2 separate regions of the Mus musculus genome follow, and region 1 is reported to be linked to region 2. Evidence: microRNA targets listed by miRTarBase, many of them from high-throughput screens and not tested one by one. Region 2 holds a microRNA gene; the other region holds the end of a gene's coding sequence.

Evidence for each region. The annotated mature microRNA mmu-miR-3475-3p reads UCUGGAGGCACAUGGUUUGAA and lies in region 2 at 1,255-1,275, opposite strand. An mRNA with a match to its seed (bases 2 to 7 or 8) in the 3' UTR can be bound and repressed. Matches are read on the target gene's strand: a 7mer-m8 pairs with bases 2 to 8, a 7mer-A1 pairs with bases 2 to 7 and ends in A, and an 8mer does both.
Region 1: the mRNA of Madd is a reported target of mmu-miR-3475-3p. Seed matches in the 3' UTR shown: 7mer-A1 at 953-959 and 7mer-m8 at 1,101-1,107.

What each region holds. Positions count from the first base shown.
Region 1 is chr2:91,135,011-91,139,010 of GRCm38, reverse strand. Madd (MAP-kinase activating death domain) reads left to right here. Exons shown (of 35, transcript NM_001177720.1): 34 at 256-302; 35 at 610-1,651. The coding sequence ends at 714. Mybpc3 (myosin binding protein C, cardiac) reads right to left here. Exons shown (of 35, transcript NM_008653.2): 31 at 3,760-3,919; 32 at 3,528-3,664; 33 at 3,089-3,275; 34 at 2,870-2,907; 35 at 2,495-2,768. The coding sequence ends at 2,897. Among named protein-coding and RNA genes, the nearest start is that of Mybpc3, 19 kb to the right of the region's middle.
Region 2 is chrX:140,308,117-140,312,266 of GRCm38, reverse strand. Mir3475 (microRNA 3475) reads right to left here and starts at 1,319; the gene lies at 1,255-1,319. All of the region lies in intron 3 of Gm32113 (predicted gene, 32113), which reads left to right. It also overlaps a transcript of Frmpd3 not described here.

The DNA.
Region 1 (4,000 bases), not on the chromosome of region 2:
TACCTTGGGACATGCATAGAAGCACGTAGATCGCAGGCATCAAGTAAAAAGCCACGGCAGACTTGCGATGTCTGTTTGAAGAGTCTGCCTGGACAGGCTGAGCTCTGTTCTATCGTAGCCTAAGCCGCCACAGCCACTGTGAGAGGCTACAGAGGGAAGGGGAGCCTGGCACCGGGCGCAGCCGCCCGGGGGAGTAGGACCCTGTTGCTCTTAGTTTTGAACTTTCTGTTTTGTCTCTTGCCCGTCCGGTTTTAGTTCCTGAAATTAAAGAAGTGGTGAGCCACAAGTACAAGACGCCAATGGTGAGTATGCGTCCCAGCCACAGCAGGCCGAAGCACGCAGGGCTCCCTGGGAACCTTCCGGCAAGAAGGGTGGACCCTCGCGGGGGACTAGATGCCAGGGGTTCAACTCAAGTCAAACACACCTTTCATCTGGGGTACATGTGCTGACCCCCCTCTCTCAGGAGAAAGGCTTCCAGAGACTTGCCTGAGGCTCACTCAGCCCAGGGGCCTGCACTAGTGTCAGGGCAGGCCTCGTACTCTAGGCTGACCCTCTACCTAAGAAGGAGTCTCAGTGTGGCTGATCCAACGGGTCTTCTGTTCCCTGCAGGCCCACGAGATCTGCTACTCTGTGTTGTGTCTCTTCTCGTATGTGGCCGCAGTTCGTAGCAGTGAAGAAGACCTTCGAACCCCACCTCGGCCTGTCTCTAGCTGATAGAAGGGTTCCACAGCTGGCCAAGCCCAGGGGTCTCCCCTCACCTCTTGCTGCTCCTAAGCACCGAAGCTGCTGGACTGAGATGGGAATGTGTGTGTGTTCTCAGCAAGTTCCTTCCCACGGTCTAGCTGGTCTTCTCTTACGTCTGAGTGTCTTTGTGTTCATCTGTCACGGGGCTAAGCTAGCCTCATTACTTTCTCTTCCTACAATAGCAGACTAGCCTTCTGTTCCCTCAGGGCTCCAGAGTGTGTGTGTGTGTGTGTGTGTGTGTGTGTGTGTGTGTGTGTGTGGTGTGTGTGGTGTGTGTGTCTGTGGGGTCACTGTGAGCCCACTATTGCCTGTCCTTGAGATGTTTGCACTGTGGTCCCTTGTCCTAGTCCTTATATCCTCCAGTTTAGGAGTCTTCTCTCTGTCCTCTATGATCTGGCACTGTGGGGCACCTGGGACAGTTCCACTCTGGGAAGTGAAAGACACCTGGGGACAAATCTTCCTGGCTGAGGGCCTGGGAGGAGGAGGGGAGGTTCAAAGGAAGCTCAGTAAGTGGTGGGCGACCTTCCTGCTTCCTCACAGTTTCTAAACTGTGGGTGCATGTCATGCTGCTGCCTGCCCCAGCTCCATCGATGGGTGTCCCTGAGTGGCTGCCATGTGCCGAGCTGGGATTTGTGCAGTGGTCTTCCTGGCCTTTGGCATGAGAGGACGGAGGAATGAGGTGATGGTGTCCCAGACAGCACCAGCTGCTCTGCCTAAGGGCCGGGGATAGGTGGGTCAGGGCTGAGCTGAGCCCAGAGTGCACGCCTGTCTGCAGGCAGAGTCTCCTGGCTTCAGTGCCAGAAGAAAGCTATGGACTGGATAGGAGGAGAATGTAAATATTTCAGCTCCACATTATTTATAGAAAAATGTACAGCTGTGTGATGTGAAATAAATGTCCTGAACTCCACTTGGGCTCCTGTGCACTCCTCTCAGCCCGGGCCTGAGGAAGGCTGTCCCTAGCTCATCTGCATCCAGCGTTGGCATACTGAGAGCCTGCCCTGGCCTCCTGCCTCCTGGGCTTCCTGGGGTGCCAGAAAGGAACACCTACGACACTACGGCTGTAAAGTCCTGAGATGTTCTGGGCACTAGAGAGGAGGTGACTTGGGCATTCACACCTGAACAGCTTGATAAAGAAGTCACAGGAAAACAGGGGTACTGCTCTGTGACCCTGTACACGTGTGTTCAGATGTGCTGTGGTGACCTGGGCCTCCCAAGGGCCTTCGGACCAGGGTTCTGTAAAAAATAAAGTGGTAACCCATGTCCAACCCTCATGGGCTATCTATGCCATGGGAAACCCTGGCACCTGTGGGCAGAATACCCAGCACACTGCCATGACACTTCTGAGACCTGCCGGCCACAAGATTTGTAAGGAAATGTGGTCTCTTGGGAGGAAGTCAGAGAAGGTTGTGATTTCCTGTGTCTGAGCTGCATGGAGTCACTCTGTCCCATGAGATGTGGTCGTGAGCTGTGGGCTCTTGGAGTCTTGATGTCTAATACAGTACAGGGCTCTACTGCCCTGTCCCCCGTATAGCACCCAGCTGGTGTTGCCTGGGTTACTGGCATGAGGCCCATATGCCTGTGCCTCCAACGGCTTTCACTTCCACACTTCCTCACCTGAGCATGAGGGTGGAGGGAGGCTGACATCCTTTCCAGTGCTGATGTCCCACAAGTCCAGGACACTGAACTGGAGAGTGGGGTGACCAAGCGAATGCTGTATGCTTTCCCATGGACATGAACAGGAGACATCAACCCCCAGGAATGGCACAGATCTTTTATTGCTCCTACACAATGAGCCAGCCAAAAGGGCCTGTCCCCAGTCACCACTTCTGAAGCCCACACACTTTATGCTCCCAGTATTAACATTATCCTTAGGGTCAGTTTCTTCAGAACCCAGCAGACCTGCCTGGTGTCACTGCTGGCCAGTCCTTCCAGGATGCACAGTTGCACACACACATGCAGTAGCAGAAAAGGGTGCTCCTCCAACTCCCTTCCGGTCTGGTACACAGCCTGGCATCCATTTGTACCTGAGACATAGGCTGCCTTGTGGATGAACTGTGGCTTCTTGTACCCCCATTTCCTGATAGCCACCCTAGGCCCTTGGCCTTAGGTGGTTTGGAATACGTACCTAGCCATCTCTGGGGAGCCATCCTGGTCACTGAGGAACTGTAAGAGGGAAGGAAACCATGTGATTCCCTAGTCTTCCAAAAGCCAAGATCCACTGAACATGTCAGGACCAGTGATCTAGCAGCCAGAGGTACTCCTTGAACCAGGACAGCAGAGCCAAGCCCAGGGTCCATGGTGCTGTCCTGCTTTCTCCCAAGCCCTGGCCCAGAAGGCTCCTTACCTCGCACCTCCAGGCGGCACTCACACTGTGCCTCGCCCTGCAAGTTGGTGGCCCTGCAGACATAGACACCACCATCATAGGGGCAGGGTTTCCTGATCTCCAGGGTCAATACTCCCTGCTTGCAGAACATGCGGAAGCGAGCATCTTCTCCCAGATCCAGGCCATTCTTGAACCAGGAAATCTTGGGCTGAACATCAAGTAAACAGAAGAGAAGGAGAGCATTTTGGTGATGGAAGAACCGGTGAGAATTCAGAGAGACTATTCTAGAAATTCCCACTAGAGCACCAGACTCAGCCAGAGGCTGAGAATGAACAGAGAGTCAGCAATGGGGGATTAGGCTCTGCTCAGGGGAAAGACAATATAGACTGGGGAGAGTTAACCATAAGGAGCCTAGGAGACCAGCCTCCTGTCAGTCTAGCCCAGGACCTTGAGTCCCTACCTTAGGACTACCTCGGACAGCACAGCAGAGGATGGCATTATAGCCTGCAATGATGGAGCGATTTGCCAAGGGCTGGGTGAAGCTTGGGGCCTCAGAGAAGTCCAGGGCCTTGTATTTGGGTGGCTCATATGTGATGCCTGTTGGTGACAAGTCTTGGTACCAAGAAGGTCACCCCAAGTGAGGCTCCCCCTCCTTCCCCAGATTCCTCACAGTGTGAGGGAGGGTACAGCACCTGGTCTTGGAATAAAGACTGGCTCCTTGGTGGCGGCAGCTTTGTCACTGGAACCCACCATGTTATGGCTGAAGACCCGGAAGTAGTAGCCATTGCCAATGATAAGCTCTGATACCACACAGTGAGTGCGTCGGTAGTGTTCCAAAACCGTGAACCACTCCTGGAGGATGGTGAAGGAAGGGAGGACTCTCTGAGGGACCTCTGCCTTTCTTGGGTACCCCCTGTGCCACTACCCCTACCA
Region 2 (4,150 bases):
TTTCCCTGGTCTAGACATTCCTTGAAGAATGTTATTTCCCGATTTCTCTAACTGCTTGTGGACACTGCAGAATAGTGCTTGGTCTGTTTCCTGTTGGTCTCTTTTTTCCTTTTTCCTTGCTCCCTACTGGTCAGGAGATTTGCTCCCACTAGAGCTCCTCTTCCCCACCCTAGGACTGATGCCACTTGTCAAGGTTGAAGATTGATGGTGGGTGCTGCTGGATTTCTGCACCTCTTCTTCCATTGCCTGCCTCTCTCTGGCTCTGGGATCTGAGAGAATTCTTTGTGTTCCATTCATATTCTTATTTCTTCAAGGTTTTTGATACCCCTCCTTTGAATTGGTTAATATGAGGAAGAGGTGGAAGAGGTGGTGGAAGAGCAGGAGGAGGAATCTGAGGAAGAAGAGGAGAAGCCATTGTTGGCCTCCCTTTCCCAGTTCAGATTTCTAGGAAGACTGGCTTCCCCCTTGTGATCTCCCCACTGACTGATCTTATCCCAAGGCTCCTTTCTCCTCTAGATTGACTCTACTGGGCAGTTTGCTTCAGGTTCATTTAGCAGCATAATCTTCAGCCCATGGGGACAGTACAAGCAGCTCGTTGGAAGGCTGTCATGTCTGGAAGGTGGGGTGGACAGAGCCTTTGAGTATAGCCAGAAGGGGATATACTGATCTCAAGGAACCACCTGCTTCCTCAGCCACCTTTATACCACGCATAACTCACCAGCTCGATCTAGTTCTTCACCTGCAGTGCAGGGGGGTCTTAGCACAGTGCTAAATGGGCACAATTAAGCTCTCTAGGTGACCGTCTCTAGCCACTGTCACTCTTTGCCATCTGCCAGCTGATGTCTACATATTTTTGCAGTGAAAAGCAGTGCCACCCTTTATTCAGACAGGCAAGCAAGAAGCAAGAGGAGGGGGCTCCACGGAGAGTCCTATATTTGGGCCCTACCAGCAGAGTCTAAGGATGTGTTCTCTTTTATACAGTAGATAGCTGTGTGGAGGGCAGGGCACAGCAAACAGTGGGCATGCTAGTCAGAATCTGAATTCTAACAAATGGTTAGCACATTTTATTTTTACCAGAATAACAAGAAGCTTCTAAGACAGGGTGCGGCTGGGGTAAACAGGCGAGGAGGATCCAAGGGCAGAAGATCCCAGGCTGAGTGAGAATCCTGGGGAATCCGGACAGCAGCAGGATGAGGCGGTCCAACCCGGCCAAGATGGTGAGCAGGAATGAAAATCCAGTCTTGTGCTCTGCTCTTCAAACCATGTGCCTCCAGAAGAACTAAGAACCATCTGGACCCTCTGTGGGGGTACATGATTTGGGGAGCAGAGCATAGTCTTGGTGAAGGCCTCTTCATTTGCGTGGAATAGCTCAAACTACAGCACATCAGTGTTATCCTCCCCAATATTGGAGCTCAGAAGACCGAGCTGTTGAAGACTGACTGGCCTACACCCTGTCATCTTTGGTTTCAGAGCATACAAAGGCCGGGTCAATGGAGAACCTGCTTGGGTCACCAGAGCAATGGGAAGCTGTAAGATTAAGGTGAAGATGCAATTTCTTTCTTTCTTTCTTTCTTTCTTTCTTTCTTTCTTTTTTTTTTTTTTGAGGGAATTATTTTCCAGAACTTTCTGCTTACCAAAAGTAGTAGTTTAACTGTGCTTTATTTTATGGTAAAAGTAATACGTGTCTTTTATGTCTTCCAACATCTCCAGTGGACTGCCCTTCATATGACTGCTACTTAATCACTCTGCCCATATTGGATGGAACTCCTATCCAAGCATGCTCTTTGGGGATGCTGTTCTTTCATGTTCTGCACTGGGATGAAAATGAAGCCATGATACCATGATAGTAATCCTCAGTTTCCCTATCTGTATAATGGAGACAGATGAAGGCCCCCTCCTCTTCTTAGGTATCTTGACCTTTCAAAGCCTGTGTTAGCTTTGGTTTTTGCCTCCTCTTCTATAGAAACTAGACAGAAGAAGCTGAGTTAAGGAAAGCTGTGGACCTTTGGGCAGAGGCTGTTGAGCCCCATGCTCAACGTTACAGGTAAAAACCAGGAAAGCGAAACGCAGACCAAAAGGCTCAGGCAAGACCAAGGGAGATGGCCAAGCCTGAAGTCAGCCAGCAGTTAACTACTAACAAGCACCGCACAGATGTTATCTTCATTTCAGAGTGGCCTTTCCAGTAAGCCTCTGCTGACAAAAGAGGGAGGGGCAGGCTGGAAAGAGAGTAAAGACCTCCTGGACCTTGGCCTGACTCCAGAGCATGGCTACCTTGCTGTGGGAAGACAGGCAAGAGGATGGAGAGACAGGGAAGTGGGTGGGGATGCTTTCTCAAGGCCACATTTCAATTAGGACTGCCTGGCAAAGGTACAGGAAAAGAAAAGAGTCCTTCACTTGGTGTGTGTGTGTGTGTGTGTGTGTGTGTGTGTGTGTGTGTGTGTGCTGTTTGTTTCCTTGTGCAATGCATACTGCATTATGGTTTATTGTAAAAGGACAGGATTAAACCAGACGTGGCAATACATTCTTATAATCCCATCACTTGGGAGGTGGAGACAAGAAGATCATGAGTTCAAGGCCATCCTCAGCTGCACAGTGAGTACAAGATCAGCTAGAGCTACTTGAGAATTTGCCCCACCCCCATTTAAAGACTGGATTAGGATTCTGGGTCTCTGCTTCAACTAATTAGCTGGGTTGTATTGGGTCAATTCCTTGCCTTCAGTAAGTCCTGGCTTATTTACATGCAGTTACGTACAATACCAGGAAGAAAACGAAACTAAGAAAAATACTGCATTCAGGCCTATCTCTATCCACTTACTTTCATTTGTTATACCCATTCTGCATAAGGCCCTTGTGAACAGTCAGATTTCTTCCAGACCCAGACTCAATGATTTTGGAACACAGCTATCAAACATGACACAGGAGGAGATTTAATTTCCTAGAGGCTGAAGTCCCAGAGATTCAGGAGAATCTCCAAGGATTCATTCTGGCTAGCTTTCCTGTGACCAGCTTGCTCGCTCTATCAGGAGTTGGGCAGGTTTATTCAATCTAGCTCACTGTCTCTATTTGCTCTCTCTCTCTCTCTCTCTCTCTCTCTCTCTCTCTCTCTCTCTCGTTCGCTCTCCCTCTCTCTCCATTCTCTTGGTGGCATTTATCCTTTATAGTGATTGATGTAGACACTAGGCAAAGGCTTGCCAAGGGAAAATGCAAATTATGTCCCTGTCCCTTTTCCTCCTGCACTGGGATGGCCGAGAGCTCTTCTGTCTGGTGGGGCTGAAGCTGGGAGGGTGTAGCAAGGTAGAGGCAGGGACAAAGTGATCCCCACAAAGTACCATTCATTGTGTGGTTGGGTGAGCTGGCCTGCAACCGAATGGCTCTATTTGTTGAGCTCTGAACCAAGCCTCACATACTGCTAGCAGGAAGATGGGTGACTCTTTCTCTGCCTTGTTATGTCCCTCCTACTTCCCCATGAGCAAAACCTCAAGTGACCAATAGATCATATAGAAATAAGGCCAAGTGACTGGTCCTTTCTACTGATGTCTCCTTTTTATCAAAGCTGGGGCCATTTACCACTACCGTCATGCCATGACAGGCCAATTTTTGAGAGCTCTGCTGAGTCCCACCGACCAGATATGCAGTGAGATGTGAAGCTCTGAGCTGGATGGTAGAAAGCTAATGTAAATGAGCTGATGAAAATGTCAGTCACATTTCCATTCTCCACTCATTCATGGATGACTGACAAGTACCACCATGACCTGTAGGGGGCATGGGACCAAAATGTATCTTCCGTTGAATAATTCAGAACCAATGAGATAACCCTAATGATGAGCTGTGGTAGCTGTAACCTCAGAACTTGCTCATTGCTCGCTCCAATCAGCCACAGTAGACAACTGGTATAGCTCTGCCATCTTACCTGTCAATGAACCAGGAATGCACAGCCACACAATGACTCAGGCATTGCCTCCTCTCCATCACTGTGCTCCAATCTTCCGAGTGCTTTTGGGACACATGACTCATCTTTAGTACGATCTAGGTTAGCTACAGAAAGCTATATGTTCATTTCTTTACAAGCCTGCTCACATTAAGAGTTTCGTTGATTCTGTCCATTTATAATGATAAATATTTTTAAATATACCGAGCATCTAAATTTAGA